3 linked regions of the Drosophila melanogaster genome follow. The protein of the gene in region 1 interacts with the protein of each later gene in a biochemical or structural test. Each region holds a gene or a part of one and is shown on either strand. Other genes may lie near its edges. The genes, in order: pum, png and nanos.

Evidence for each region.
Region 2: of the proteins of pum (region 1) and png, one has a biochemical effect on the other in vitro, tested with the Drosophila melanogaster proteins (one study listed by BioGRID).
Region 3: the proteins of pum (region 1) and nanos are reported together in a solved structure, tested with the Drosophila melanogaster proteins (one study listed by BioGRID).

The regions. Positions count from the first base shown.
Region 1 is NT_033777.3:9,228,019-9,239,587, reverse strand, and holds the start of pum (pumilio), read left to right. Parts: upstream 1-2,562; 5' UTR 2,563-2,778; intron 2,779-4,923; 5' UTR 4,924-5,726; coding exon 5,727-6,059; intron 6,060-6,731; coding exon 6,732-7,514; intron 7,515-9,310; exon of another isoform or gene 9,311-9,596; intron 9,597-9,735; exon of another isoform or gene 9,736-10,226; intron 10,227-11,435; exon of another isoform or gene 11,436-11,455; intron 11,456-11,569. Other genes in the region: D1 chromosomal protein, read left to right, coding at 1-98, 417-1,069. UniProt on the Drosophila melanogaster protein: Sequence-specific RNA-binding protein that acts as a post-transcriptional repressor by binding the 3'-UTR of mRNA targets.
Region 2 is NC_004354.4:1,353,166-1,362,954, reverse strand, and holds png (pan gu), read left to right. Parts: upstream 1-5,353; 5' UTR 5,354-5,421; coding exon 5,422-6,297; 3' UTR 6,298-6,467; downstream 6,468-9,789. Other genes in the region: CG11417 (uncharacterized protein), read right to left, coding at 6,545-8,860; CG12773 (uncharacterized protein), read left to right, coding at 9,467-9,702, 9,757-9,789.
Region 3 is NT_033777.3:19,151,251-19,163,006, forward strand, and holds nanos (nanos), read left to right. Parts: upstream 1-5,987; 5' UTR 5,988-6,250; coding exon 6,251-6,722; intron 6,723-7,265; coding exon 7,266-7,735; intron 7,736-7,808; coding exon 7,809-8,072; 3' UTR 8,073-8,359; coding exon of another isoform or gene 8,360-8,455; 3' UTR 8,456-8,952; downstream 8,953-11,756. Other genes in the region: CG5835 (uncharacterized protein), read right to left, coding at 239-363, 2,146-2,212; CG11779 (uncharacterized protein), read right to left, coding at 3,883-4,547, 4,615-5,152, 5,216-5,296, 8,360-8,455; Nsun5 (Nop2/Sun-like domain containing protein 5), read right to left, coding at 8,983-9,413, 9,477-9,974, 10,540-10,789, 10,866-10,988; CG42359 (uncharacterized protein), read right to left, coding at 10,102-10,500. UniProt on the Drosophila melanogaster protein: Maternal RNA-binding protein that is required for germ cells proliferation and self-renewal. Acts by forming a complex with pum and brat that regulates translation and mRNA stability.

The sequences.
Region 1 (11,569 bases):
ATCAGGATCCGGGGATTCGGTGAAGACGCCCGGTTCCGCCAAGAAGCGCAAGGCCGGCAGGCCCAAGAAGCACCAGCCCAGCGATAGCGAGAATGAAGGTGAGCCTATGGTAGTGCAGTTAGTACGTAAATCCCCAACATTTCATGGTCTCAATTCAATTAATGGAAATTTAAGCACTGTTTGCTTCCACCAAACTTGCACTTTTATCTTTACGCTACCTGGTGATTTTTTTTCGAAGATCACAGGTAGAGTCATGATTTCAACATTCCGCAACCATGCAATCAATCAAAATCAAAAATATGTAAATGGTCGATAGACCATTGATTTACCTTCACAAATATTACTTTAAATATATTCCTGGATTCATTTCATTATTATACCTATTAACTAACATTGCTTTGTTTCTTTCAAAACAGACGATCAGGATGAGGACGACGACGGCAACAGCAGCATCGAAGAACGTCGCCCAGTGGGCCGACCGTCGGCTGGATCCGTCAACCTGAACATATCGCGCACGGGACGCGGCCTGGGAAGACCCAAGAAGCGGGCTGTCGAGTCCAATGGCGATGGGGAGCCACAAGTGCCCAAGAAACGCGGTCGTCCACCACAGAACAAGTCGGGTAGCGGTGGCAGTACTGGCTACGTACCCACCGGTCGTCCGCGCGGTCGTCCAAAGGCCAATGCTGCACCCGTCGAGAAGCACGAGGACAATGACGACGATCAGGACGATGAGAACTCCGGGGAGGAGGAACACAGCTCGCCTGAGAAGACGGTAGTGGCGCCGAAGAAACGTGGACGTCCCTCTCTTGCCGCTGGCAAGGTGTCCAAAGAGGAAACAACAAAGCCCCGTAGTCGCCCAGCGAAAAATATTGATGACGATGCAGATGATGCTGATTCCGCCGATCAGGGCCAACACAACTCCAAGAAGGAGTCGAACGACGAGGACCGTGCCGTGGATGGGACACCAACCAAAGGAGATGGCCTCAAATGGAACTCCGATGGCGAAAATGATGCCAACGACGGTTATGTTTCGGATAACTACAACGATTCCGAATCGGTAGCTGCCTAAAACATACAATTTATAAACATTTCCACACACCCCTCCCCAAAAATCAACACAAAAAAAAAAGAATGTTGTAAAAGCAAAAAAAAAAAAACGAAAAAAAATCTGCAAGTAAGAGAAGAAAACACAAAAATGGATAGGACCTACTTGGACTTTAGAGAACCTTCCCCTCCTAAAACAACACACTTTGTCTACATATATATTCCGATTTATTGCTGAGAAATCGGACAAACCGTTTACAACTGCACTGCACTGTAATGACGACACATAGCTCGGAAAACGATTTCAACTTGGATTGAAATTACCAAATAAATAACACATAAATAACATATTTGGGGAAGATTTCAAGTTCCGAAGTAGAACTGAACTTTATTGTAACAACAAATTTGATTTGATTGCAGAAATTTCAATCGTATACAAGTTTAAATAAACCTACTATACCTAAAAAAATTTTGTGTAATTTAGTTTTTATATATATCATTTAACATATATTATCTATTGATATAAACCAGATGGAAAAATATGTAAATCCATGGTTGTATTGATTCTTTATATACAGTGTTCACTGTACTTTACATTATATGGTCACTCTGAAGAAAGTGAAGTTATAAACGGTAATTGTTGTAATGCTATTTTAACAACATTAAAACTAGGGCAACTAGTTAAATGCATTATAGAACATAAAAATCAATTAATTTCTCTAATGGGATAGTAAATGAAATTATAACTTACATATAGTAGTATGCTAAATTTTTGGTATCTTAGAACTATTGGAGAGTGTTTCTCAGTGCGCTTCGCAATGGTATATTTGAACGGTCGAGCTGCGGTCACACTAAATGTTCGCGCGTAAGAAGAAGCAGACCTAGAACGGCGTGCTTGTAATATGTAAATTTTTCAAATAAGCTAAGGTGTGAGTACCCAACAGCTATAAAATATGAAAAGTATTTTAAAACTGCCAGCCTTATGCTGATAGTTCGACAGCATTGTTTACATTTCCAATCGGCGGTAAATCACAATCAAATTTGCGGCTGCGAAAAAAGATCACAAATTGATAAAAAAAAAAGCCGCAAACAAAAACAAAACAAACACCCTGGTGCGTGTGTATGTATGCGCGAGTGTTGGTCTGTGAATGTGTGTGCTCAAGTGTGTGTTTGTGTGCGACTGGCGTCTGATCAAATTTGGCATGCCCCTAAAATCGATTGATAAATAATATATAAACAATTTGGCTGGGGCAGCGTAATTCATTTGCCAGGGTGAATATAAAAAAGGGGGTGATGATAAAAGAACAAGAAAATGTGTAATCAATTTATATAAATATTTTGCGCGCATGTTAATAAAAGTAAAATAAATTGTCGGTCTTTTGCGCTCGCACCCCCGCTCTTGCTCTCTCTCGCACTCTGTGGGCATGCTCACTCGTTCTCTCTGTTGATTTCGCACGTTTGCCAACACTGCTCTCATTTTGGGGGGTTCTTGTTCTCTCCTCTCTCTCTAGCTCTTTGTTGTAGTTGTATTTGGCCAGTGTGTCTTTGCATTTCGCTTTTATTATCGTTCTGCGACGGACGGCGGCGACGTTGAAGAAATTCCTGGCCGATTTCTTCTTCATCATCCTGTGTAAATAATTGTAATTTAAATAATCTAAATTTCGTATTTAACGAAAGCACACACACCATCAAATCAATGGAAATGCAAACGAGAAGGCTTTTTTAAGTGCATGTGTAAGTGTTTCAAAAAAGGAAATGAACAAAAAAAAACAGCTAAAAACCGTAAAGTACTCCTGTTTCGTTTTACATTGTCATCATCGGGTTTCCTTTTCCATTTCGGCGGCATGAGTGTATGTGTGCATTTCCAGACCGCTTTTTGTACATATGCAAACATGTATAAATAGTTTGCGAAATTAATTCGTATTTTGCCCGAAAAAGGTAAAAATCAATTAAGTGTGTGCCTGAATAATTTATATGATTCCTTTCTTTTTGTTTGGTTGGTGAACAAATTTTTCCGATTGTGCGTATGTGTGCGAATGTGTGTGTTTCATTATTTCCTTATACCATCGTGTTCTTCCTTTTGAGCGGTGGCCATTTGGCTGCTCTGCTTCTTCCTTCTCCCCGCGTCCCCCCGCCAAACCATTCAGCTCCCTCTTACGTGTGTGTGTGTGCTCTCTCGCTCTTTCTCTCTCTCGGGACGCCTTGCAATTGTATATATGTGCTTTTCCCAATAAGAACGCCTAACTACCAACTAAAATATTAAACAATTCAAATGGTTTTAATTCCTAATTACTTATTGGCCGCACCTCCTTTGTTTTGTCCGCCATCTCTTTTATGGTTTATCTTTATGTTTGTTTTTATATATACCCCCCTCCCCTAGAAGTGTGGGTGTGTGCGAGCTTCCAGGGGCACAGCATTCGCGTTCTCTCTCTTCCTTTTCGCATGCTGCACTTGTCTCTCCTTTTTTGGGGGGCTTCTTGGGAGGCACGAAAGGACCGAAAGGGAGAAATGGAGATATAATTCTCGTAAACAACCCAAAAACAAAAAAAAAAATAATAAAATAAAAGACCGACCCACTCGCATTCTTTTCGCTGAAAACGTAACCTCAAATGTTTGCGGCCGCCTTTCGCCTTCGTCTTCGTTTCGTTTTCTTCGCCATTCGTTCTGTCGCATTCGCTCATCGTCTGCCGGCATCGTTCTTGTTGTTGTTCTTGCTCCTCTGTGTGTATGTTAATTTTATATGTTTTCCATTTTCGACCGCCCCACCACCCCCCGCTATACGTCTTTCCGTGTGCTTTCCGCGGGAGGCGCTATAACAATAATTCTGTTCACAAGTTTTCCAGATATGTATAAATTCTTAGATGTTAAACAAGCCGCTATACGTCTTTCCGTGTGCTTTCCGCGGGAGGCGCTATAACAATAATTCTGTTCACAAGTTTTCCAGATATGTATAAATTCTTAGATGTTAAACAAGCCGATCTACAATGTAACCAGATTTTAAAAAGGGATTTTGTTTCTGTTTTCATTGGATTCCATATTTTGTACAATGGATATTATTATAATCCCAAACTATTATAGAATTTCATGTTAAAAGAGTAAAACAGGATTTGAATAATCAGATCTAAAGATCATTTTCATAATGTTGAAATGCAATGGTCCTAATGGTGATTTATAAAATTTCGTTAAAACCTTTTTGGAACTGCAACATAAACGCCATTGTTATCGTGTGCCAACTTTTTGTTACGGTTGCTAAGCACTTACGAATAGATAAAGTCTGAAAAGTTATGTATTGATAGTCACTGATAAAACTAGCCTGCATCGTAATTTATTAAGAGTATTAATCCAATCGGTCTTCAAAGAAACCAAATTATATTTTCCGTATTTTTCGAGCATGATTCAGCGCTGCGTTGTTCTTCTATGGATAGTCTGCTTCTGCGACTTGTTCTTGGGGCTCCTGTTCCTCAAACGTAAACGCAACGCACACACTCCCCCCCCCCCCCCGCAATTCACCACTTATCGGCATCTACTTTGTTATTGTTTTCGTAATGGGGAAATCATGGCTAATATTTGCCTTAGTCGTCTTTCAGTTTTAGAAGAAATTGTTTTGCTTTTACGCGTGCCTTGTGCGTTTTATTTTGTTGATTATTATTATGTGCCCTGTCTGCTGTCTGTGTTATCGGAATCTTTTCTTTACCATGACCAGCTCAAAGTTTTTAATCGCACAAAAGTACAGTGGTTCGAGTGTCGTATTGAATTGGGAATAAAAACTAGCATCATATAAAAAGTTATTTGATTCGAAATCGATAATTTCTCAACAATTTATTTCCAAAAACTACTGCGTTTACTAATCACAGTTTACACTTTAATTTCTCATTGCAGTTTGTGTATATTTTCATCATTAAAACGTCGTGTAAATTAAAATTCATCCTAATTATAATTAATAAACTACATTAATAAACGGAAATTCCACAATTCTCAACAAGAAATCTGTAAAAATTCAAGTTTTAACCAATTCTCATACGTAATTAAATAAATAAAGTTCAGTTTTGTTAAGTCCCAAAAACAACAGCTGTGCAACTGTGTAAAATATTATTCATAATTTTGTGTAAATTTATGTAAAAAAAAAAAAAAAAACAAACCAACCACGACAACCAAACCAAACGAAGCAAATTCAATTTTTTTGATCAAAAAGTGTGTGAAAAATCTCAGCAAAGCCTGTAAAATAAATATTAAATATATTAAGCAAAAAGTGTGGTTTCTTTTACAACAAAATAAATAAAAGCAAAAAACAAGTGTAAATCTGAAGCGAAAATTAAAAAAAAATTATATGTAACATTTGTGAATATTTCCGAGCGAATAGTGTTGCAAAACGCGCGTGTGGTTCTTTGTGCTGCAAGTTAAAATACAATTCAAGTTGGCAATACGCGCAAAATTGTCAGCTGCGATAGCTAGGAAAAGCCTCCAAAATTGAGCTCCTAACCGCGCCCACAATTGCCATATCGACGCCCTCGCCGCAGCAGCAACACCAACAGCAGCAGCAGCAGCAGCAGCAGCAACTCTATCAGCAACATCAACAGCAGCAGCAGCAACATTACGGTCCACCACCGCCCTACTTTCAACAGCTACACCAGCAACACCAACAGCAGCAGCAACAACAGCAGCAGCAGCAACACCAGCAACACATGAAGTTTTTGGGTGGTAACGATGATCGCAATGGCCGCGGAGGCGTCGGCGTTGGCACGGATGCCATTGTAGGATCTCGAGGTGGCGTCTCTCAGGATGCCGCCGATGCAGCTGGTGCCGCCGCAGCCGCCGCCGTCGGCTATGTCTTCCAGCAGCGTCCATCGCCTGGTGGGGTTGGCGTCGGCGTGGGCGGAGTGGGTGGCGGTGTGCCAGGGGTCGGAGCCGTAGGCTCGACCTTGCACGAGGCCGCCGCCGCCGAGTACGCCGCCCACTTTGCCCAGAAGCAACAGCAGACCCGATGGGCGTGCGGCGACGACGGCCATGGGATCGATGTAAGTATTCCAGACTCCAAAATAAAACAGTTTTAGAGCCATTGTAGTAACATGTTGAGGGGCTCTTCCAATAACTTTTTTTTTTATCGCAATAAAGGAATATTATCTTTACTACCTAAAAGTTAAATATTTTAGAATTATCATTACCAAGTTAATTAATTAATACAAAGAATATAAGTATTTTTACTTCTATGCAAATAGTATTGAAGAGCATATTTAGCAATTAGCATCAGATGACAATTTTTTCCCCTTTTTCTAAATTTTGGCTTCCATATCGTTATTGGGTAACTTTTCCCAGTGCTGCTTCTTGATTAGACTTTGTGGCGCTTATTTCAGGGGGAGGAAGGTGGGCTTTAATTCTCCCCCAGTTGACCTCCGCAGATTGTATAAGTGTCTGCCAGAAATGGTTGCATAAACAGATTATCACAATTTGGCATTGAGTGTGCAGCCAATGGAATTGTGCGAATAGAATAGCAAGATGTTTGTGGTAAAATAGGAGATATTGATTAGGAAATTTGTTTCATATTCGACAGAGACTTAATTGGCAATGTACAAATACAAAGGATTAAATAGCTCAGAATTTTATATTTACGAACTAAATGAGAGCAATTAAGTTAGATTATATCGAGAACTATTCAAAGGCTCATACATATATCCTTGAATTAATTCCAGAACCCGGACAAATGGAAGTACAATCCGCCGATGAATCCGGCCAATGCCGCTCCTGGCGGTCCACCGGGAAATGGCAGTAATGGTGGGCCCGGCGCCATTGGAACCATTGGCATGGGCAGCGGATTGGGTGGTGGTGGCGGCGGCGGAGCTGGCGGCGGAAATAATGGCGGCTCTGGTACGAATGGCGGTCTGCATCATCAATCGATGGCCGCTGCAGCTGCGAATATGGCAGCCATGCAACAGGCGGCGGCGTTGGCCAAGCACAATCACATGATATCACAGGCAGCAGCCGCAGTTGCAGCCCAGCAACAACATCAGCATCCACACCAGCAGCATCCCCAGCAGCAGCAGCAACAGCAGCAGGCGCAGAACCAGGGGCATCCACATCACCTTATGGGCGGTGGCAATGGACTGGGCAACGGCAATGGATTGGGCATACAACATCCCGGCCAGCAACAGCAGCAGCAGCAGCAACAACAGCAGCAGCAACATCCCGGCCAGTACAACGCGAATCTGCTTAACCATGCGGCTGCCTTGGGTCACATGTCATCTTATGCCCAATCGGGTGGCAGCATGTACGACCATCATGGTGGAGCCATGCACCCGGGAATGAACGGCGGCATGCCCAAGCAACAGCCATTGGGTCCACCCGGAGCCGGAGGACCCCAGGACTATGTCTACATGGGTGGCCAGACCACTGTGCCCATGGGAGCCGCAATGATGCCGCCACAGAATCAATATATGAACAGCTCTGCTGTTGCAGCTGCCAATCGGAATGCAGCGGTGAGTAATAGGTTAACTTTCTTGGCTTGCCATAATTAATCCAACAATTGTCGTTTCGATTACGATAATTTATGCGGACAAGAGGGGAATATGTTGCAATTGATTTGCTTAGGAATACTACCACTTATCAGTAGCATAAGTAGTAGTCTTTAATTCAATTGATAAGGCTCGGAATGATAAGCTAATTAGTTAACCATGTTTGTATATGTATGTTTGTATTGATAACTGATGGAATATCAATAGTTTTACATGATGGGGTAGCTACGAACAACTAAAAGGCTGCTTCTTCTCTCCTGTCAATGAGATGAATCATCTACTTTGCGTTTGTGAACCCAAGAGAATGACAGTTTTCTTGCCTTACTTAAGTTCAGTGCGTTTGCCACTACATTCATTTGTCTTATTATACGCTGTTTATTTAGCGAACTAAAACTCGATAGTTGTCAATTAAATAGGCGAAACCAACTTGACAAAACTGCCGATAAAGAGTGCTCAAAAATAAAGTTATGACCAAGTGCCCTTAATGGAGCTCTTACATGTTTAAATCGAGAGTTTATTCTCAAATAAAAAGAGAGTGCCAAAACTTTAACCATTAAATTTCATTTGATTATTTTCTCTTGTTAGATTAATCAATAAGTTGGCTTGATAGCTAGTGGTTATGGTTTTGTCATTGTACTTTTTCTTCCAATTTTGGCGAAAACTTTTCGTTTCTTTTCGTAACTTTCTTAGGAATTTTATTTTGCGCCTCATAAAATAATTGTTAAGGGCATTGCAATTTACTAAGTTTGACCATTTTCTATTGCTGAATGGAGATCGATATTTGCGTGATTATGACTATGTGACAGTTTAATAGAATCTTTTTTTGTTCGAGATTGAGTTTTAAAGATTTTTTGTAGCGCCTTTATTTCTGATAGTTATAGAACTTGCAGAAGAGGACCATTGTGTGCTGATTCTATTATTCTTGAACTTCTTGTTTGGCTTTTCATTATTTCTACTCGCCGTCCGTGCTGCTTTATTCGTGTCTTTGCTACACTGGCTAATGGAGATAAATGTGGAAATATAGGGGAAGCGAAGAAAGAGGCGGGGCTGAGATACATAGATCCCATTCCGGTTGCAATCTTTCAACCTTATAAAGCCAGAACATTGCACATGCGGCACAACCACACGCAGATACACTTGGATACTCACACACCTGTCTGCTCACCTGTCTGTTGCCGGTAAATCTGATGACTTGAGAACTCGACTACTACTACCACTGGCATTTTAGCCAGAAACAACTGGCAGCAATTTATAAACGAAAGAATTTAATACTGGGAACTAATGAGTTGGCGATGCTGTGCAAGTGGGGTGGAGAAGAACTTCTCGTTGTGTCACAATTGTTTATAGGAAATGCCATTTTAATTAAAGAATTTCACTCGTCTAACCCTCTCGTCTCGCTCACCCGTTCGTGGCGTCCCTCTCTGACCTCTGCTTCAGGTGATTCCCCTTGTCACCTGGCACTGCAATTTCCTTTTCACTTCCTTCGCACACAATGCAGGGTTTTAATGGGCAAGTGTTGGTTGGCCCGCAATCGATTATGTTTTTATCAAGCAAATTGTCGATTCAAAACGGTTCTGGGTTGTGCGGGCCTTTTGATACCCTGCTCGCTACACATCAGATTAATTCTTTGCTTATTAATTCATGTTTATTTATGATATTACTTTCGCATTTGATGTTTCTAGCTGATTTTTTTTGTTTATAATGTAAATATTTGTGTAAAATGACGATTATTCTTGGTTTAATTACTCTTTGTGGGTTGACTTTTTGTTTCTTGTGTCACCCTTTTTTCGGTTTACTTTGCATCAACTTTGAAATCTCTCTCTCTCTCTCTCTCTCTCTCTCTCTGAGCGTAGAACCAGCAGAAGAAGAGGAGAAAGATATTTATTACATTTATGCGAGGACCAGTCGGAATAATAGTAACAAAATAAAGACCTCCTGGCTGGAGGTAAAGTAAAGTTGTGCAAAAGAGAGTTTTCGCAAACTTGTTGTTGTTGTTCTTGGGGTTTCTGTTCCGTTGTTGATGTCCTTTATCTTACCCTTGTTTTTCTTAAAAGAAGAAAAGAAAAATATATGTGAATTATATGAATTTGCATATTTTGTTGATGGGAAATGGGAAAAACTAAAACATATGTAATGCATTGTATATTGAAACTGATGTATTATGTACATCTTTTCGAGTATTTACCGAGCTGCTACTACTACGCCAGTTTGTGGGGGGTAAAGAAACGCAGGCATCGGCAATATTTCGCCAAACTCCTTGCATCCTTCCCTCTAGTTATCTCTCTCCCCCTGCTGGGCCCACCTGCCACGTGCTGTCCCTGTCCCGCGCGCTTCTCTCTTCCAGAACTATCTCTCCGCTCTCTTGCTTCCACTTATGGCTTTGCGTGTGTGTTTGACGCGCTCTTGTTGATGTCGTAGGTCATTGATTTGCGCTTAACAGCCGGGCGGAACGGAATGGAATGGAATAAAAAGGGGAACAGAAGAAAAGCAGCGGGTAGGAGAAGACAGAGAGAGAGAGAATGGGAAAAGGGTAAAAACGATTCTTCTGCGCTGTTGTTGTTTTTGTTGCATTAAGTTTGCTCATTGTTTCACTTGCCTTGGTTTGTGTTGTTTCCCTGCATGTGGTGCATTCTGCTTCCTCTTTTGTTTCTTCTGTCCCTTCTTCGCATTCGCCTTCTGCACAGTAAGAAAATTGGAAATGATATTTTTCGAGCGTTAAGATTTGATTCTTAACAATACAAATTACATTGATTAAGATAGCGTCTTGGATTTCTTACTTATTACTGAGTTATGAGTTATTACTTATGTGTGAGTTATGTGATTGGATTGATACGAATTTAGTTTTTTTCTGTGTACGCGGTGTTCTTATTACTTGCGATTCTTTTATGCTGCCTGCCTCTTTTTTTCTGCGAATTCTCATCTTCATCCAGTTCCCTCCTTTTTCCACACAGTTTTCCCCACCCCTTACTCTCTTTAATGTTTTTTTGTAGCTTTTTGTGCGCGTAATGATTTTTGTGTGCGTGTGTGTGTCTGTGGAATTTGTCTCAGTGTGAGGCATCTGATTTTGAGCGCAGCTTTTTTCCCCCGTTTCGTTTTGCGTTTTCTGGTTGGATAATGGGTTTCCTAATTGGAACATCTCTGTTAAGAAGCTTTTCGAGCATTGTTGATTGTTTTTGTCGTCCTCCTTTTCTTATTTTTGCTTATTTTTGTTTTCCAATTTGATTTGGAAAAGCAAAAAAATCCAACAAATTTGTTACTTCCATTGTTAATAAATAATTACATCCGTTTTATGAAACTTATGTTCGCATAAACTTTCGGGGTTTTGTAGCGTGAATTATTGGCAGTCTAGAGTTTTGTTCAATTTAACATATGTAAATAGCCTAATTTTATGAATCTCTTGAAAACTTAATTCATTAAAGAACGATTTCGTGCCAGCCTTCCGGGATTTTATGATAAGGATTACCGCATACGTTCTAATCTTCCAAGGATATAAATACATATATTTGCATTTTTGATTCTGATTTGTCAGTGATTGGACTTTTAATTTACGCCAACTGCTTTTTTTTTTGTTTCCCTCTTTTTTCCTCTTTTTGGCCCTGCTGTAGACTATAACCACTTCCACCTCTTACAGCATACCAACCAACCCGCCTCCTATTCTTATAAACATTTTCGTTCTAATTGAACAAATGCCGCTAAACCAGAGTCTCTTCTCTTTCTCATCTCTTTCTATCTCTTTTCCGACTCTTCTTGTCTTGCCAATTAGCTGAAATGTTTGCAATTTTCCAACATCCAAGACGCTCTGCTTAAATGATAATGTGTGTGAATGTTTATTTTCTGTGGCACAGTGGAACTTGTATTATAACCATATCGACAATCACGTTTTACATTTTTTTTAAGATGCGAATTCTTTAGCTACGAAGCTCTCTAGGCATGGAAAATATATTGATGATGTAGTAATGGATTTTATAGAATGAAAAAAATGTACCTAAGCGAGTAAAATTGTAGTTTCTGCTGTTCAA
Region 2 (9,789 bases), on another chromosome or scaffold:
GGCAACAGCTTGATTATTTTAAACAAAAGTCCATCGAGCCACACTCTGTCAAATGCCTGCGCGACGTCTAGAAAAATGGCTGTGCAGTATTCTCGATGTTCAAAAGCAGTACGAATTTCTGACGTGATTCGGTTGACCTGTTCGATGGTTCCATGTTTTTCTCTAAAGCCAAATTGATGTGTTGGAAGTGTGTTGTTTATTCTAAGATGAGGGCTAATCCGAAGGAGTAGCATTTTTTCAAACAGCTTTGAAAGACATGTTAGTAAGCTTATCGGTCTATATGATGATGGCTGCGTTTTATCTTTTCCTGGCTTTGGAATCATTACTATGGTCGACTTTTTCCATTTTTGAGGGAAGTATCCAAGCTTGGCGATTGCGTTGAACAACAGGCAGATGTGAAGAATAGCACACTTTGGGAGTTCAATGAGCATTCTTGGAGTTATTAGGTCGTAGCCAGGCGATTTTCTTGGGTTCAGTTGCTCTTTGATAACCTTTGCTAGTTCACATGGTCGGAATTCAAAGGGTTCTTGAGGATCTAGATTGGCTGCTATTAAAGGAGGGAGAATAAATGTGTTGGTAGAGGGATTTGGTCGGAATACATTTTGTAAATGGTCAGCGAAAGCACTGGCTCTTTCTTCATCACTTCGAAACCAGGTGCCAGAGGGACTTCGGAGTGGCATAATTGGCGCTATTGGAGTCTTTAGGTTTCTGTGAGCTCTCCAAAGAGGGTACTTAGTGCTGGTGGGAGAGAGTTGCTCGATATATGAACGTTGGCTGTTTTTTTCCTCTTGTTTGAGAGCATTGGTAAGCCTGCGTGTGGCTATCTTAAGCATGTGCTTAGTAATTGGTGATCTATTAGACTGCCAATCCCTTCGTAGGCGTCGTTTATCTAATACCAGCCGCTCGATTTCGCGATTAGTTTTGATGTAGTTTGGTTTTGCATACGTCACTGGCGGGGTTGAAGCCTTTGCAGCCGAAACTAAAATGTTTTCGAGAGTTTCCGTTGACTTGTCTATATCCTCCTTTGTAGATAATGCCGTCGTTAGTTCTATGTGTGAACAGACATACTTTTGATACCTTGGCCAGTTTGTTCTAAAATTTGTGAGTCTATACGGTGGGTCGACGATGTGGGGGCGAGTTAGCATATTTAGAAAAACAGGTGAGTGATCTGATGATAAATCTGCTAGTGCTTCGGCGGTGACCATGTTGCGGGGGACATGTTTAGTAATTGCAAAATCGATCAGGTCTGGGATTTTTCTTGGGTCTGCTGGCCAGTATGTAGGCTTACCCGGGGATACATAGTCTAGCTTGTTTTCTGGCTTCGTAAGCGCATTGTACAATTGCTTACCCTTTGGCGACACAAGTCGAGATCCCCAATGGGTGTGCTTGGCGTTATAGTCACCCGCTGCGATGAACCTGTCACCTAGTGTGTTAAAGAATTCCATGAATTGATCCTCAGAGATTGGAAAGCGCGGTGGGCAGTAGACTGCGGCTAGAGTCGTTGAACCATTGTTGAGTTGTAAGGCTATGGACGTAGATTGTAAGTAGTTTTTGTCAAAATTGTTTAAGTGGTGGTGTTTTATGCGATTTCTGATGAGTATTCCAGTGCCTCCATGAGCTTTACCATCTGGATGATTTGTACCATAGAACAAGTATCCTGGTATATGAAAATTGTTTTTATTTGTGAGGTGCGTTTCTGATAGTAGCATTACGTCGATGTTTTTTTCGTAAATGAACTGTGTGAGCTCTTGTGTATGCCGTGAAACGCCATTTGCGTTCCACAGAGATATCCGTAGGGAAGCCATTATGGGGATTTTGAAGATACAAGAAGTTGAATCAGGATATTTTGGTTTTTCATGAGCTCTTGCAAAGTATTTTGCATGAACGTCATGAAGTCTTTCATGCTTTGCTGTAGGGATAGCATCATAGCTTCGATGCCACTTTGTTGTGTTTGTTGGATGTTTGTCGGTGTATGTTCGGAATGAGCAGTTCTTGTCGGTGGGGCGGGCACTTCTAGTCCGGATTTTAGGGCGCTAGCGAAAGAAATTGTTGGAGTAGTGCTTGGGACAGTTAGGGGTGGTTGAAAAATCGGTTGCGGAGAGTAGAAATTGACTTTGTTGTATGTATGTGCTGTGGCAATACGTTTGTTTAGGCGGCTCTTCAATTCTTTGTACACCACACAGCCTCTGTAGTTTGCAGTATGTTTTTCCCCGCAGTTACTGCATTTCTTCACAGACTTATCGTCCTTGTTTTTGGGGCAGTTTGCGGTAGTATGAGGTTCGCTACAGACAACACATACGGACTTAAGGGTGCAGTATGCCTTGGTGTGGCCGTATTCTTGGCAATTAGTACATTGAACTGGATTGATACGTTTGTGCGGCTCCTCCACGGTGATCCTCCGATGTAGCAAGTACTGTAAATTGTATATTGGGTGCACTTCGTTTTTCTTTAGTGCCTGGAGCTCTGGTTCGAGTTCTATTTTGAATAGTGGCTGCGGAACTTTGTCTTTGTTTAAAATATTAATAGCTGTCTTTGCAGAAAAGTTTTTGGCCTTCAGAGCCTCAATTATCTCAGCTGGTGTCACTGTTGCTTCAATGCCCTTAAGTACTACCTGTAGCCCTTTGCAACTTTTTAATTGGTATGTGTAGTAGTTTTTACCAGCATCATTTAGGTATTTAGTCACTATACGGTGGTCTGCTTCTGTTTGGATCTGTAGTTTTATTTCATGAATATTTCCTTTTTTAAGTGGGATAATGTGGAACTTGCTGTCACCAATCAAAGCAACGAGTTTATTTACAAGTGCATTTGTACTTTGTTCTCGTATGAAAATTGGTGGAGGCCTGGTCTTTTTTGGTTCCCCTACCGTTTTTTCGTTGGGTTGTTCGGTCGCAGAATCAGCCAAGATAGCATATCGGTTTGAATTATTTACTGCAGAGTTTTCATTGCCGTTGTTGGTTCGATTGATTTTGGGTTGATTACCTGCCTTATTGTTTTGAGGGCTGAGCTTTCTCTTGATTTGGATGTAGCGATCCATGCCAGTCTGCACAGTCGAAATCGACTTCTGCTTTTGTTTTGATTCTTCTTTACGTGCATTATTGTTGTTGCAAACGGTCAGTGCTGCTGAATTATTTACAGCTGGCACAGCGATAATTAGTTGGGCCGCTGACGAAGTTGATGTTGTGGCAGTTGCCAGTGAGGTCACTGCACTCGTTATTGCAGTGTTACAGTTACCCGGGACGGTCGTTTGGCGCTGCGAGAGGAGCGGGGTAGGAGAGGCGGTCTCTTCGCTCCACGACTTGTGAGCCGAAGCAGGCAGAGAGGGAGAGCAAGAACGCGGTCTGTCGTTCGCTGAGGGCAAAAGTTTCGAGTTAGTTGAAGGTGAGGGTGCTCGATCACCGATTTGCGGTGAGACGAAAGAAAAGTATGCATTGTTGCGTTGTAAAGAGAGCCGGCGCTCGTCTTGTTCACATTGTCGCTGAGAACGTATGTCGTTTTGATTCATTGTTCTAAGTCCACATATAACAATTACCAGAACAATATGGAATAATTATTTATTTTAGTAAATAATTACTATAGTCAATAATTGTTAGTTGTGCAAACTGCACTTTACACTTTGTGTTTAACTTTCACTATACTGTTGTAGTTTTTAGAACTTGCTATTCGTAGCTTGAAAGAAACACGTCTCCACCCGAAGACTGTGGAATGCCGAACGCGCGCTTTAATGCTATCTAAAATTGACTACGGACTGCCAATCTTCGGTTGGTGTGCTAAATCACACTTAAAAAAGCTACAAGTCCCATATCACGGAGCGGTCCGTCGCGCCATTCACGCATTTCCCACATCTCCAGTAGCGTGCACATTGGCAGAATCGGGTCTCCCGAGTATCCAATCACGCGTAGAAGAAACTACATTGATGCTTATCCCGAAGCTGTACACCACGTCAAACTGCCTGCTAACCAAAGACTTCGGAGCCATATTTAAACAAAAACGGAAATTCAAGTGCATATCCACCCTAAGACGTTGCGCCAACTACATCAAGCTACTTGACCTTCCCCTGCCTAAGCCCAGGAGGCCCTTCAAATCGCCAGCACTTTGGGGTTCCAAACAGCCTAACATAAACCTTCAAATATACAATGCTGCCAAAAAGGATACAGGTCGCCTAGAATACCAAAAACGTTTTATGAGCGCACAAGAAGATCTTGGTGTGAAAAACTGGATCTACACCGATGGTTCTAAAGTCACCGGCGCAACTACTTTTGCGGTTGTTGACTCTAACCGTAAAATAATTGCAGGAGGTAGGCTTCCGTCCTACAACTCCATATTTACAGCCGAAGCTTTCGCCATTCTCAAAGCATGCCAATTCGCTTCCAAAAACGCTGGAAAATCTGTTATCTGCACAGACAGCCTCTCCTCTCTTTCCGCTATACGCAACTGGAACCATAATGACCCCACAACACAAGAAGTTAGGCACATTCTAAGTTCTCACCCAAAAAAAATCACCTTACTCTGGGTTCCCAGTCATCAAGGTATTCATGGGAATGAACTTGCTGACAAAGCCGCCCAAGAGATGAGGCTTACACCATCAATCCTGTTCACTCCGTTTAACTCCAAGGACCTAAAAAGTCGAATCAAGTTATACCTCAAAGAAAAGAAACTCTCCGAATGGGCACTCTTCATGCACAGGTACCAGTCTATCAATCCGAATTGCATCATGTTCAAGCCACCAACGAACGTACATAAACGGGAATGCGCGACCTTTATCCGTCTACGCATCGGGCACACCCAATCCACACATCAACACTTACTGATGAGATCGGCGCGACCAACATGCCAACTATGCGGGGACGAGCTCACCGTTGACCATATTCTCAACGCCTGCAGTCAATTGCACTCAATTAGATCTCACTTATTTGGTACACATAGTCTCTCGAATTGTTTAAGTATCCCATCCTGTGAAAATATCTCAAAAATTTACAAATTTGTCCAAAAAGCTAAGTTTATTATATAAAGCAATTAACCCATAAGTCTCGAGTCGAAGGCCCCCGTAGCTAGTACTCATTAAATTTAATTAGGTTTAGTATTGTATACTATATTTAATTTTGTTAAATAAAATAAATAAAAATTTAGGATAGTCATACTTTTCACATGGATGGACTTTTTGAATGGGGTTAGTTCACGATGCGTTAGTTTGATTAATTAACCAGACTCTAATAACTTACTTTCATTGAGCACTGTTGCTGCTGGCCAGATGAGCAATTTTCATATGGGGTTTCCGAAGTTCCGAGTTTTCGGCTTTTTCCGATGGAACTGTGCATCTCTTGTTTCGAAGCAATCGATAGATGGCGCGCTTGCGCTTTTGCTGGCTAACTGTACATCAAGGCGGGATCGCGGATTACGCTTTCGGAACTCTGCGCACTCGAGATGGAACTGGGTGACTCTAAGCTGCGTGCGGTAAGGGTGCTGGGCCAGGGCACCTTTGGCCGGGTCTTCCTCTGCCACCAAAACGAGGTGCGCGGACAGCCGGAGAGGAAGGTGTGCGTGAAGCGGATCATCGTCCGGAATCCGAAGACAGAGTTGGGATTGATCAAGGAGGAGGTGTACATCATCTCGCAGCTGCGCCACCCGCACATCGTTGAGTTCCTGCGCTCCTTTAGCCACGCGGGCACTGTGAACATCGTGATGGAGTACGTGCCCAACGGCACCTTGAGGGATGTCATCCAGCAGCTGCCGTCAGGCACCGGGGGAGTCAATCAGGAGCGGCTGATGGGCTACTTCCGCGACATGGTAGTGGGACTCGAGTACCTGCACATCCGCTGCGTCATCCACCGAGACATCAAGCCCGAGAACATGCTCCTCGACGCCAACGACCGCGTCAAGATCGCCGACTTTGGGATCGCGAACGTTCATGCGCCCAGCACTCAACTGCAGGCGGGCATGGGCACGCCCATGTACATGGCCCCGGAGGCGATGTCCAGCCAGGGCAAGGTGGATTTCAAGTCGGACGTGTGGTCACTGGGGCTAGTCCTCTACGAGCTGTGCCTCGGACGCAGCCCCTTCGCCGCGTTTCTCGACAAGAACGCCACCCCTGCCCTACTGCACACCGTAGTCCAGGCGCTGGTCCGCCCCCGGCTCGACTGCCAGCTCATCCGGCGTCTCTACGATCCCGTGTGGGCGCAAGTTTGCGAGCTGATGGTCGTTTACGAGCAGGAGCGCCGCATCTGCCTACCAGACATCTTCCACCTCGACGCCGGCATGACTGTGACCCTCTACAAGCATTACTTCAGCTACAGCTACTAACGGAAGCCAATGGTCAGCTCACCAGCACGAGGAGACCTCAACAAATATTTCATTGTACTTAAGAACTAGGCTAGCTTAAGCGATAAATTAAGGTGTGTGCTGTGCTTTGTGTGCGCCTGTGCTTTTGCCAGGGGATCTGTCAGCTATAAACAGTATATAATGTATATTCCAAAACAGTCTCGCTCAATGTCATTAACGTAGTCTTTAATTTACATTTGTTCACCTATTGTACAGTAACATTAATCCTCTAAAGCTTCTGGCCCTGCTGCTGCAGCTGGATCTTACGCTTCAGACTCTTTACCAGGGCGTTCTGCTCCAGCTGCTGCTTACTCCTCTTGGGGGCTACCTGCTCATCCCCATCCGCATCGCCGTTTGCAGCGCCGCCCTCCCCCTGCTCCTTTCTGCGCTTTAACTTCTCGCCGATGATCTGCTGCATGCCCTTGGTGGGCTTGTAATGGGAGTGGGTGGGATCGATGTTGTACTCGTGCGACTTGTAAACGGCACTGAAGCGATTATCATTCAGGTTTACCTGGAAGTCGTCGTCCAGCTTCTCCGCATTCTGCGGCTGATTTTTCGATTTCTTTAACTTCTGACGACGCTTTCGCTTTGAACCGCTCGCTTCTTGCTCCTCCTTCTTGAGGATTTTGGTCAGACTGAAGTGTTGCTTCTCGTCGCGCCCGTCGCCATCGTCCAGCAGTAGCTCAAGCTCCTTCTCTTGCCGCTTCGCCTCGACGTCCTCCTCTCCATCGTCCTTTCCCTTCTTTTTCTTTTTCTTCTTGTCCTGCTTCGTTTTAGGGGGAGCGTAGTCTCCATTAGCGAACTCCTCGGCGAAATAGGCGTCATTCAAATCGATGCCATCGGGCACCATGGACTCATCGCTGTCCTCACCGGCATCGCCTCCTCTGGCTTCGATCTGGCGCTGGCGGCGCTGTTCCTTGCGCTGCCTGTTCTTCTCGCTGCGTTTCTGGATCACCTTCTCGATGGGCGTGAGCTCGGCCTGGGCTTGCTGCTCCGGCTGTGCCTCTTCGTGCTGGGGCTCCACGTTCCAGGTCATTTCCATTTCGTACTTCTGCTCCTTCTCCTTCTTTTCCTGCTCCAGGATGTCGGCCAGCAAGTTTTTGTAGGTGGCAATGCGTTCCTGCTTAGAAGTCTTTTTGGGCTTGCTCTTCTGTGGGTCCTCTGAAACCGCCTTTTGAGCAGCCTCCTCCGCCGGGGATTCCTCTGCCTCAGAATCCTCTTCCTCACTACTGTACGCTACTATCTGGCGCAGCTCCTTGTCCGTGAGCTTGTCAACCTGCCCGCTGGAGAGCTTGTCACCCAGCTCACGACGGTCCAGCGCCGTCTCGTCCCAGGTTAGATCCACCTTGGCCTGCTGCAACGCCGTGGTGGTGAACTGTCGCGGCTTATAGCTGCTGGCATCCGGCAGCTCGAAGCATTCGTCCGACGGCGTGTCCTCCTCGAACGAGGTGTCGTCCGGGATGAAGCGCAAGTCCACGCGCGTGGCGGAGCTCTCGTACTCGATACCATCGCACTCCTTGTATACCTTGTCGGCCGTGTCTATGCTGTCGCACTCGACGACAGCATAGTAGTAGCGAAGTCGGTTTAGCTGGTACTGACGCAGCTTCTCCATGTGGTAGTCCTCCCCCTCTTCGGCATCGCTGTCCTGCTGGCGTACGAGCTCCTCATCGGAGTCGTCTTCTGGCTCCACGCGCTCCACCAGTTCCTTTGGGCCGTGCACTTCCTCCTCGGCCATGCGCGCTTTCCCGAACTCTGAGGGGTATATCTTGACGCTGAGAATGCTACCGCCGGGCGGCAGGAAGGAGCTGAGCATGACCATTAGATCCTCGGCCCGGATGCGGTCCCAGTCCATGTTGCAAACAGCCAGCCGGCGGGTGCTCTCCTCGGTGTGCTCGGCATCGTTGTCCAGTTCGCCCCACACGTGGTCTATCTGCAGTTCTGGACCCTCGTCCTCATCATCGCTGTCCTCGTCTGAGGAGGAGTCGGTATACAGGCGGCCTTCTCCGCGGGCGTAGTCTATCTCTGGGTTGGTCAGGCGCTGACGAAGACTCTGTGACACCTCGGAACTATCGCTTTCCAGAGTATCGTTGCTCTCCTCCTTCTCCAAGTTGGCTATGGCTCGCTCCTCGGCGCGCCGCTCTTGTTGCTCTGCCTCCGCCTCGGAGTCAAGATCGGATTCCTTTTTGGCAGGCTCCTCGCCGCTGCTGCTCTCGTTCTCGTCCAGTTCGTAGAACTTTCTGAGGTCCTCGGCGTTGCTCTTGTTGACCGGGCGGCCGTACTTGTCCACGGTGTACTTCACCTTGAACTTGTCGTCCGTGAACATGCCCTGGAAACGCTTGTCGATCTTGACCTTTCGCTGCACTTTTGGAACGCCGCGAAATCGGGGATCGGTCAGCAGGTGCTGGAACCGAGAGTCCTGCCAAATTCCGTTCTCCGAATCATTGGCTCCAGCTGCCTTCCCCATGTTGGCCTGCGACGAGCTCGGTGCCTCCTTCTTCGTCGTCTGCTTGTCCAGCTTCCCGGACTTGTCCTTCTTCTTGCCCATTTCCCGAGGAGCCCAGTAAAATACAAACAAAACGTAAGCACGTGCGGCGCGTCACACCGGTTTGGTTATCGATATCGGATGGTAGCGATAGAACTTAGAAACAGATAGGCGGCCTATCGTCTAACGCATATCGCAGCCCACCGAAAAGTCATCGATGACGACTTCTTGTAGTTTACCAATAAGCAAGTGTTTTTATTTAGCTTTTTGAGCGTTTATTGAGTGCGGTTACAGTTACTCAAGTGCGACCAAGACGATGCCCGCCGTTTCCCGCTTCGGTCGCCAGTGACTCGAATCCAGCGCCTGCAGCACCTCCATCGGATCTGCGATCTTCAGAGGATTCTCCACTGGCTGCCTGCGTGGATGTGCTCGCACTTGGACGTTTGGATGTTTGGGTGTAGCAGTGGGAGCGCAACGCCAAGAAATAGCAATCAGTTAATTGCCGCGATTACGCCCGAGTAGTCGTCAGATAACCCGCGAGAACAGCACAACGCAAAAACTGCTCAACTCCACGGGAGCAGCAGCAACAACAAGGCCAGCAAACAACTGCCAAAAGCGGTACGGGAAAAGCGGGGTGGAGCGGAGTGTGCGGTGCGAAGCGGAGCGGAGATGACTAATAGCTCTGAGGGCAATGGCAACGGCGGCCGACGCACTGTCGACTGGCAGAGATTTGGACTTGGCGGCGACGAGGACGGGGATGTGGCGGTGACCAGCTTTCGCCAGCGGACCAACAACAACACCGGCGGATTTGTGGATTTAGGTAACGAGTACACGTACGCGGCTGGTGGCCACCATGCGTCCGGGGCCAACGAGATCTTTGCGGGCGAGCAGGGCGACAAGCCGTGGTAAGTGAATCAGGCAACCCTTCTGGCCAGGATCCTAAGCCTCTTACTCAACAGGTGGCGCTCGAACTTCTTCATCTCCCAGCCCGT
Region 3 (11,756 bases), 9.9 Mb from region 1:
TAAAAATAAACCCAAAATGCAGTAATGCATTTGGCCTGGCTCGTATTTCAGCTTCTTGGGTCGTTCGTTACTTAGTGCGTCAGTGCGTCAGTGATTCCAGTCGGAGTGGTTTTGGTTTTGGTTTTGGTTTTGGTTTTGGTTTTGGTTTTGTCCCGTTGTACCATTCTGCCCCGTTGCCCGGCTCTCTTTTGGCCTGGCCCAGTTACCCATGCCCAGCGTTTTGTTTTGGCCAACTCACCTCCACGACAGCTGTCTTATTTTTGGCAGCCACCGGCACTCCTCGTGCTGCTCCAGCTCCTGCACCCAGATCACTTGGCTCCTTCGTCTGCGGTTTGTTTAAATCCTGCGAGGGCTTGGCTTGGGCTAAAAGAGAAAGCAATTAAGCCGAAATGAGATAATGCATTCGCTTGAATTAGCCGGTATTTGGTTACAGCTTACAGCGGGCTACCTGAATAAGAAAACACAGATCTTCTCGGTTTCAGGGGAAGCGCAAATATTTACCCTTTACCCCGAGATTTCGCAACTAGCACCTTTTTAGCCAAATTGCAGATATGTTTCCTTATCAGCCAACTGTGATTTTATTCAAAACTAAACACCAGACCCAGACAATACGAATTTGTTTTGCTGCCACCGCCGCATTATCAGTAGACAATGAATTTGGGGTTACGCTTTCTGGCAAACAAAGTAAAAGCGTGTTGTGGCTCAAAAAAGCAGCATTAATTAGCACAGACGAGGTCAATGAAATAGCAATGATGGCGTCAATAAAATATATGTAAATATTTTAATATATTTATTTAAATTGGAATAAGTAAATAGCAGCCTGTTTTACTTTCCGAAACTCAATAACTAACTTTAACCATTCCATTCCTACTTTAATCACTGCCACTGTACACTTTAAGATTTGTTTGAATCGTATGGTTTTTTTTTTTTGCAAACCTGTCCGTTTATACATACATATATACTATATAGCAGAACTGAAACAATAAACACATTTCTAATGCCACAAACGATTCGCCAATGCCGATCGCTTTGGGATTCGCATAAACCGCTCACGAATCGCGTCAAAATCGCGCGTTAGCTGGTGGAGCTTCCAAAAATTCCACAAACAAAAGCCAATTAAATTCGAAAAAGCACATGATTTAGCCATGATGTCTTGCAATTTATTGCATTCGACATTCGTAAGTCACCCAGTTTTGAATTGAGTACGTGACGATAGGCCAAAGCCTTCAGCCGAAGAAAACTTGATCCACTTTTGACAAGTGTCAAAGAGTCCGGAGAGTTCTTATCACTGAGTTGCGGGTGCTAACAACTTTAGGACAAATAATATAAGTTAAGACCCAGCTCATAAAGTTCTGACACCTCATAATCTGCAGGAAGGAACGGCAGTCATTTGGCCATTTGTTATAAAGTAATCTCGTTGGTTATGTAATAGTAGTAATAGTAAGGAAATTTTAAGGATTATATTGTAATTAAATTAATTGGCTTTCAAGCTTAAAAATGAAAAATACAACATGAAAATCCAATGCTAGAATGTCCACTATCATTTCAACAAATTGTACTTTTAGAACTTATTGATTTAAAAAAGAAATCTGAAACCCAATTATCCATCTGAATAGTTCCCTCTTGGCAGGATTTATACAACAACGCCTATTATTTTGACCACAACTGTTCGCTTACAATTCCTGCGTAGCGATCATTTACCAATATAGCGCAAAAGGCCTGGCGAAATCTTATCTGCACTGCGAAGCCAGCTGGATGGATGGAGTTCCCCCATGGAATTAAAGTCTTGCAATTTAATTTCGCGACCTGGCGGGACCTTGATGGACGACGATTCATTGCGACGGGACGGCGGGCGGTCGAACCATTCAATAAAAACCCCATATTTATGCGCTGTAAACCGGGCGGGCTTCACCATAAAGGCGTCCCGAACCGGACATGGTCTTCGATCTTGGCTGGCACTTAAGGCAAAGGGTGAACCGTAAACTGTTAGCTGTCTAGCCAAGTGGCCGCTCCAACTCGATCCCATCCAGCTGCGCTGCAAACTAGTTTCGCTGCAGAAGTGGAAACATCGAGTGTGCGTGTCTATCTATCTTGTTTCGCCCGTTGTCACTGTAGTTATATCTTTTTATCTGTCGTGGTACTTACACTCCGCCAGCAGCAGAACCAACAGAAGCGCACTGTTGAAGACCAAAGTTTTCCGCAGTGCCATCATATTGCGAATTTATGTAGATATGCGGGCACCGTCGTCACTTCCTTTATCAATTAGCTCCTTATCACTCACGCACAGGTTACGCGCCACTCGATCGCTGGATACTTTTCGATGATTAAGCGCTCGTTCGGCTTATTCTGCGGGCCAAATTGTAAATGTTTGTTATATTTCTCCGCCTTGCCAGTTTTACGTGCGTTCGCGACGAGCTTTCCGTGCGGAATGACAAACTCAAGCTGAGAGCCAGCCGAGTTAACCCCAACTCTGTTAACTCTCTGTTAACCGATCGAGGCAGTAACATTGACTTACTGTTGGGGGTATTCGAAACGAAGAAATTACTTAGCATTCTTAACTTTGCTCGGATTTTACCACCTTGCTCGTTAACCGATTGTTAAAGGTATAAATTATTATTATTATTCAGTACATTTTATTCCTGATATGTGCTATTTTGAATAACGAAGTGGGTCATGAATGAATTCTGTGAATTAAAAAATCAAATACTTATAGGCTTTTTTATGCTAATTATTCATCAAATAAAAATGTCTCTAATTTATAATCACTGTTTTTGTCACAAACATCAAAATATTTTTCAAGTTTTTGAGATACATGAATCACATGCATAGAAAACAATGACTACTTAGGTATTTGCAAACATTTTTATTTGAGCAACAAACTATTTTCTCCCTCAAAACAGCAAGTTTATACTACTTATTAACCAAGGTAAAATTAAAATGTTTTACAACTGTCATCGGAAAATAAAGCATTCCATGTTTTAAAAACACCCAATCGAATGGATTATGTAAAAGTATTGGATTTTTTTTATTTTGCCCACTTAGTAGCAAGTGGCGCTTACGGATGCCCGATCCATGGGGCAACCATAAACTTGGATGTCTGTGATTAGGGTAAGGAAACATAACACTTATTTCACAAGAATTCGCCAGCTGCTTAAATGGTACATGTAAAAATATTGAAGTATTTTTATTTTTCTAGACATTCTGAGTGGCGCTCGATGTGTACGTACATACAACTCTTTGGATTCTGTGTGTACAGTCAATTTACGATGCCCAAGCCGCCCTGAGCGAATTCCATATTTACAAGAGAAGGGGGTGGGGATTGGGAGGGGGGGGGGTGTCGGAAAGGGTTGGGGCCTTAAAATACCTAAACTCAACTACACTCAACAATTTGCTTATGGTCACTACTTATACGCCTTATACACCGGCGGTTGCACTTTAAGCTTCAACGTTATAGATTTGGCCAGGACACCAGCGGAGGAACCACGATCCCGACGGCCAATCCCCGCACCGAACACTCCTTCCGTGCTAGCCGGAAGTGGATCGGCGGTGGGCGTGGCCGCAAGGAACGGCCAACCGGGGCGTCATTTGGGATATGAGCCGCGCCGGAGCCGGCAGTCTGCTGTGCCCGGAATTCGTGGGGGAATCGTTCACGGGACCGACCAGCAGCCCCTGCCGGGCGGACGCAGTTGACTAGTGGCGGACAAAACTTTCAAAGCAATCGAAAGCGAAACCTTTGTACACACTTAATAGATTCCTGCGGGTCGAGTTCGTGGTCAGTTCGTCGTCAATGCTCAGTGTCCAGTAATCTTTTCGTTTGTTTTTTGGATGAGAAAATGAGGGAAACTTAAACGGCTCGGTAAAAAAGAAAGGCGTGGCAGCGCGCTAAACAAATTGCTCTGAGCTGTTGGCGGACAGCTCCATCAGCCGCCAGGCAGCCTTGGGGTTGAGTTCGTTGCGGTCGCGGCACAGCACCCAGACGTAGTGAACCCGCATCACCTTCTCCGGATCTCCCTCGACGACCTGACTCTTCTGGTCCCGCACGCACATAATCTGCTGGGCTTGGAACGTGATAATCAGTACCGGGCCCTGCTCCATAACCTTGCCCATTGCCAGTTCAATGTTCTCGATGTCGAGGATCTTGGAGTCCAGGTACACGCCGGCCTTCTTAGCCTCCTTAATGGGATTTGCGATAATATTGAAAGTGCTCTCAAAGCACCAATCCTTCAGAATCTCCAGATCCCCACGGACAATCGATTCCAGAATATTTGGAATGATGTCCGTTTCGCAATCGCGGAGGAAATCCTTCTGATCAAAGCTCGGATCGATTTTCACCAGCTCCGTCATCGTTTCCGAAAGCTCTGTCTTTGAAAAGAGTCCACCCATGACGTCGGACACTTTATCGGTCAGCAGGCGGGAGGCACGAATAACAGGGTTCTCGGACTCGTCGTATTTAACCTTCCAGTCAAGCACCTTGTTCACGTAGGTATTGTTGTTCTTGAAGTTCTCCCACGACTCGTAGAACTTGGAGTCCTTGTGCAGCTCCATACCTGAAAAGTAACATTACATTATGGCCATGACCTTTGATCTTATTGAAGGAAAAAGATGGAGACTCACCAGTGGCTTCCGTGTTGGGCTCCACAACGCGATCACTATCGCTCATGACGAGCTGGACGCGCTTTCGCAACTTGGCAGGAGCACGATAGACACGATTCTCTATGCTCGCGCTGTCCATCTCCTTCTTGATGGTCGTCGTCGTGTTAGAGATAGCCTGGAATGCGCTGGTCTGGCCCAGCTTGCCACTGGTGTCGGAGATCGTGTCGCTGACCCCCCTAGCCTTCTTCGAGAGCTCCTCGGTAACCTTTTTGGCCAGGTGGGATTTGCTGGCGTCCTCCAGAACATCGCCTACGCGCTCCTTGATGGCGCCCAGCTGCTCCTTTAGCATGCTAGACGACTTTTGCGCCTCCGATTCGACAATGTTAAACTTTTGCCGCGCCGATTTCAGGGCATCCGATTCTTCCAGCTTCTGGGCCTCCTCACGGAACTTTCGGATATTGTCCTTGATCTCCTTGTTCTTATCCATCTCCGCCTTCATGTTGTCGAAGAACTGCGAGAAGAAGCCGGCCCTGCGACCTGGCGCACTATAAAAGCGGGGCTGCGGAGTAAAGTCATGACTTAGGCCGGTTGCGCCATGGGGTTTTATGAGCCAAACTCTAACCTGCTGCTGCTGCAGGTTCTGCGAGGCCTGCTGGCACGTGAAGAGACAGGCGCGATCCCGCACAAGGGCAGCTATTCTGTACTGCAAGGAGAAAAAATCATTGAAAGCTTCGACCGTTTTAACCTCGAAATATGCACATGTAAGGACGGATGTGAGCGAACGCCAGTGATGACCGGGATCAGAGGTAACCTACCATGGTGGGGATTAGGTGACCGTTCGCAGGTAGTTTGATCGGAGCGAATGTTCGGGGGGTCTGGCGTCAGAGGCTCTAAACTTTATGTAATTCCTGCCGCGAAACACGCACGTATCAAGCAGTCAGCTGTTCTCTTCGTTCAGCGCGCGCCGGTGTTGCAAAACGAGCGCTCTTCGCCGGCGGTGGCTCGTGCGATAGTTCGTTTTGTCGGTAATCCGATGTTGCCGCGCCGATATCATGTGATGTTGTCACAGTGCGCGAAATTCGAATGGTGGTGTGCAGTGATTGTGTTGTGACGGCGAGTGGCGCGTGTGGGTGCTTAGTTTTGGGAGATGTTTTCGTATTTTTTTGTTGATAACTCAGGCTTTGTTGCTGTGTTGTAGTACTATTTTCCATTGCGCGGTGTCCAGCTTTTAATTAGTGGCACATATTCTTAGCAAGTAAAAATTATTTTGCATACTATTAAATTTCTTATAAATTATTTTCTAAAATTAAGTTTACCTTTTCAATTTTACTAAAAATATCGATATATTTATTATCGCTGGAAAACTACATTATTCCACCTCTAAGCAAGAACCGTTAGTTGGCGCGTAGCTTTACCACAAAATTCCTGGAATTGCCGTACGCTTCGCAGTTGTTTCAAGTTGTCTAAGGGACATACGATTTTTTTTGCCTCTGCGTCACGATTTTAACCCAAAAGCGAGTTTAGTTACATGTACATTATTATTAGATAAAGAAGTATCGCGAATACTTCAGTTGAATAAACTGTGCTTGGTTTTTGGGTGAGGATTTGTGGAAAGTAGAGTGCGCGATAACCGTAACTTTCGACCCGGATTTTCGCCATGTTCCGCAGCAACTTGGAGGGCAGTGGCGCAGCAGCAGTAGGTGTTGCAAATCCCCCCTCGTTGGCTCAGTCTGGAAAGATTTTCCAATTGCAGGATAACTTTTCTGCTTTTCACGCCAGAGGAGGGCTCAACATTCTGGGCCTGCAGGACATGTATTTGGATACCAGTGGGGCCAACTCGTCGGCCACTTTGAGTCCGCCCATTACGCCGGTGACCCCTGACCCGTCGACGTCTGCGCAGTCGACGCACTTCCCTTTTCTGGCCGACAGCGCAGCCACCGCCAATTCGCTCCTTATGCAGCGACAGTACCACTACCACTTGCTGCTCCAGCAGCAGCAGCAACTGGCCATGGCGCAGCACCAATTGGCGCTGGCTGCATCAGCGGCAGCGGCTAGTGCGAGTCACCAGCAAACGGACGAGATTGCGCGATCCTTGAAAATCTTTGCGCAGGTGACGACGGGCGCAGCAGGTAAGAAGAAATGGCGAATATGGCGTCGTTTAAAACAGAATAGCCAAAAACAGTGCGCGGGAGCGAGATGACTATCTGTACAAGTACAGTTATGCCAAAGTCAATGGCCATGGGCTTAGTTAAAGGGGCAACGAAAGCACAGAGCAAAACAGAAGTAAAATTGTGTAAATGTATAATTGCTGCAGAGGTCAGAGGATTTTCGCCATTTAGTGTAGTATATTTTTTATTTTACTATTTTGTATGTGCTTTAAAATATATCTTTGCCCAACACTTGTATCCCCTTCAAGAGGTTTTTCGAGCGCCCCTGAATTTTCGGCCATTGACCTTAGCATTTTCGCTATTCCTTTTTGTTTTAACTTCGGAAAGCCATTTTGCGTCTTACATTTTCTAGAAGTTCTTTGCTTTTTCTCGTCTGTTCTTGTTTTTTTTTTGTATGCAAAAACTAATCCGTATTTGCTTATTACATTTCTGAAATGCAATTGAAACGCGAATAATAAAAAAAATACGTTCAGGACAAGGTAATGAAAAGCTTGCTATTCCCAGAAAATGCGGCTGGCTCGATGCAGGATGTGATGCAGGAGTTCGCGACCAATGGCTATGCCAGCGATGATCTCGGTCGCATGTCCTACGGGAGTGCTCCGCCACAGGTGCAAATGCCACCGCAGCAGCAGCATCAGCAACAGCAGGGGCTGCACCTGCCACTGGGCCGCAATCCTGCCCAGCTGCAGACCAATGGCGGCAACTTAATGCCCATTCCACTCGCCACCCACTGGCTGAACAACTACCGGGAGCATCTGAACAACGTGTGGCGAAACATGTCGTATATACCAGCCGCTCCCAATACAATGGGTTTGCAGGCCCAAACAGCGGCCACTGTGTCCACCAATCTCGGCGTGGGAATGGGTCTGGGATTGCCCGTGCAGGGCGAACAGCTGCGCGGAGCTTCCAATTCCAGTAACAATAATAACAACAACAACAAGGTGTACAAGCGTTACAACAGCAAGGCCAAAGAGGTGAGTGGATCTGATCCAGGATTCGCAGAATTAAAACTTGCAAAATATATTTGTTATCTTGTTTCTCCAACAGATCAGCCGCCACTGCGTCTTTTGTGAGAATAACAACGAACCAGAGGCGGTTATCAATAGCCACTCAGTGCGAGATAACTTTAACCGAGTGCTGTGCCCCAAACTACGCACCTACGTGTGCCCCATCTGCGGGGCATCTGGGGACTCGGCGCACACGATTAAGTACTGCCCCAAGAAGCCGATCATCACCATGGAGGATGCGATCAAGGCGGAATCGTTCCGCCTAGCCAAGAGCAGTTACTACAAGCAACAGATGAAGGTTTAGAGAGGGCGAATCCAGCTCTGGAGCAGAGGCTCTGGCAGCTTTTGCAGCGTTTATATAACATGAAATATATATACGCATTCCGATCAAAGCTGGGTTAACCAGATAGATAGATAGTAACGTTTAAATAGCGCCTGGCGCGTTCGATTTTAAAGAGATTTAGAGCGTTATCCCGTGCCTATAGATCTTATAGTATAGACAACGAACGATCACTCAAATCCAAGTCAATAATTCAAGAATTTATGTCTGTTTCTGTGAAAGGGAAACTAATTTTGTTAAAGAAGACTTACAATATCGTAATACTTGTTCAATCGTCGTGGCCGATAGAAATATCTTACAATCCGAAAGTTGATGAATGGAATTGGTCTGCAACTGGTCGCCTTCATTTCGTAAAATGTTCGCTTGCGGCCGAAAAATTTCGATATATCTACAATTGATCTACAATCTTTACTAAATTTTGAAAAAGGAACACTTTGAATTTCGAACTGTCAATCGTATCATTAGAATTTAATCTAAATTTAAATCTTGCTAAAGGAAATAGCAAGGAACACTTTCGTCGTCGGCTACGCATTCATTGTAAAATTTTAAATTTTGACATTCCGCACTTTTTGATAGATAAGCGAAGAGTATTTTTATTACATGTATCGCAAGTATTCATTTCAACACACATATCTATATATATATATATATATATATATATATATATATATATATATGTTATATATTTATTCAATTTTGTTTACCATTGATCAATTTTTCACACATGAAACAACCGCCAGCATTATATAATTTTTTTATTTTTTTAAAAAATGTGTACACATATTCTGAAAATGAAAAATTCAATGGCTCGAGTGCCAAATAAAGAAATGGTTACAATTTAAGGAAACAAATGTCCTTCTTGCGTTTGAAACAACTAATCCTTTTCGCCCTCGCGGCGTTTCTCGAAAAGGGCCAGGAAGATGCCATCGGTAAGATCACTGTCCGGCTGGCAATACAGGACGTTCTTGCCAATATTGGGATAGTCCTTGTCGCCCACATTGTGCCACTTGTTGCGCAAGGCCTTCTTGCAGCTGAGCAGCTTGAAGGATGGATTTAGCTGAAGACAACGCTGCACCACCTGCTCGTTTTCCTCCTTCCACAGCGAACACGTGCAGTAGGCAATGCGTTTGACGTTCGGAAAGGCGCCCATCGCGTGCGACAGGATCTTAATTTGCAAACCCTGCAGCTTTTGCAGCCGCTTGTCCTCCTTCGGCTCGTCGCACACGGTCATGCGGTTTTGCATTCCGCTGCCAGAGCAACTAGGGTCCACCAGGATGTACTCTACGTCCGGAAAGCGTTCGGGTGCTGAAATTCAAACGTGTTACTTTTTTAAATATTCATTGTGAAATATATAAATATAAAACTCACTTAGGTTCAAGGCGTCTCCCAAAATGGGTTTTACAATATCGCAACCAGCATCCTTTGTTATTTCGCACAGCGTATTGTAGCGTACGTGGTCCTGCTCCACGGAGTAGATGCATCCCTTGTTCTGCATCACATTGCATATGTGCACTGTCTTCATACCGGGAGCTGCGCACATATCCAGCACAGTGGCCCCAGACGGCGGAGCAAGTAGTTCGGCGGCCAAACAGGTGGCCTTGTTCTGCAGTATAAACCTCTTGCTGTGCACCAACGGATGGCGGACCCAGTAGTTGGACCACTTGGCAGGAAAAATGAGCACACCCTCAACGTGCAGATCGGTCATGAACTCGTTCTCCGCCAGCGATTTGATGGCAGTCAGAAAATCCGCATAGCTGGCGTCCGCAGGCAGCTCCTTGCGCCGCCAGTCGCTTTTATGCAGGTAGTCCAAGGCCTCCGCCAAGCTGTATAGATTTGTGTTGATGCGCACATATCGAGGATTGGGTTCTGTGTGGGCAAACAAAAAGACGAGTTCAAAATTGTAGCCAAAGTAAGATTTATTAAGAGTTGTTAAGAGTCGTTACTGGTCCTTTAAACGATCGAAATAATCTGGACTTGGCTGGCAGCACTTAAGTTACTGTTCTTTCTTTGGCTCCGCAGCTTCCGGCTCGTCGTCCTCATCCTGCTGCACGGGTTCCAAGGGTGGTGGGGGCTTCTCGCGGAAAGCCTTTAATACATACATGGCCACCACGAGGTTAACAACCACAACAGCCGTGAGAACTGACCAACAGTTGACCGTGAAAAGGTCCAAATGGGGGAAGGACTCCTGCAGCCAGCTGCGGACGCCATAGAAGCCCAAGAAGGGCAGCGTGAACATGAGCACACTGTAGGCCAACAGCCAGAGGAAGACCTCCGCACTGGTGTCCTCCTGCTGCGTATGATGCTCCACGGGAGAATCAATGACAGCCGGGGAATCATCAGTGGTAGCTGGCACCACATCGACATGCTGTTGTTTCCTGTTCTTCTTGCCCATCTCAGCCGGCTAATACTGGTAATCGGTGTGATAACCTGCCTTTTCGCTGGACACCGAAATCTCTGATGGAATTTAGCAGTCGATCCTTGTAACTTCGCACCGTTTGCACGGGTTTGCTTTCGCCGTTCAGCTCCTTCCTGCCAAACAGCAGTTCGGTGACTAGAATCTTGGCCAAACTGGGATCAAAACTGGGATTGTCCCTGAGCAGTCCTGTCTCTTCGATGGCCTTTTCCAGTGCCACACGATTTTCGCTAAATTTTTTCAGAACCGTATGCAAAGAGCGTGTACGCTACAAGTGAAGTGCGAGAGGGAAAAGTTATACGCATATTGGTTTGATCTGCGGACGAGAGGTCCAATCCACTTACGGCATGCTTCTCTGCAAATATTAGGGTCTTGATGCACTTCTGCTGCTCCAGTGCCGCCTTCAAAATCTTGGCAGTCGCCCTGTATTGGGTGGGAACTTTTATGGAATGCGGTTTTTTACTCATTGTCGTCACGTGCACGTGTATGTGTTGTTTGCGCTAGAATAGGTGCAACCCCAATCACGACTTTATCGATATATGCTTATCGAATGTCAGGGCTGGAGATAAGCATGTGGCGTTTGAAACAAATCATATTGTTATTCATGTTTTGAAAATATCTACAATTAATGTAAAGGTTGTTCTAATTTTGCCAACGATAACTACAAAACATATATGTTCTATCCAATATATTTACATACAGGGTATCAAATTTACAAATAAATTGGCAGTGTGGCCATACGTTGCGAGCAAAAATTACTGTACTTCAAGCATTGCCAACACAAGAATATTTTCATGGTTAAAAATTTTGGCGCGATAAAGCCGCAGTTTAAAATGTCAAAGTGTGCGCGTTCTTGGAGGTTTACCAAAATTTAGAATCATGCTTTTATTTATCGTGCATAAGTTGGTAAATTGGAATTAAATCAAGTTTTTTCCAATTTGTTTCTGGTGTGTCGTTTGTTTTGGGGTCTGTACGGCTGCTTTAATTAAAAAATATTAAAATGAAGCACGCTATTCTTTAAGGACTTTAAGGAAACGTACCTTTCTATGTTTGCCCAGGAGTTGATAGACGATATCAAGGCTGAGGATCGCATCCTACAATGTCCTTGGTGCGAAGAACAGACGTTGAGTCCATCAGCCAGCACCCGGAAACTTTTGTATTGGCTTTTAACGCTTTCAATTCGACTTTCAGAAAAGAGTCTCCTCGAAAATCACGACTGATATCCATGTAAATGA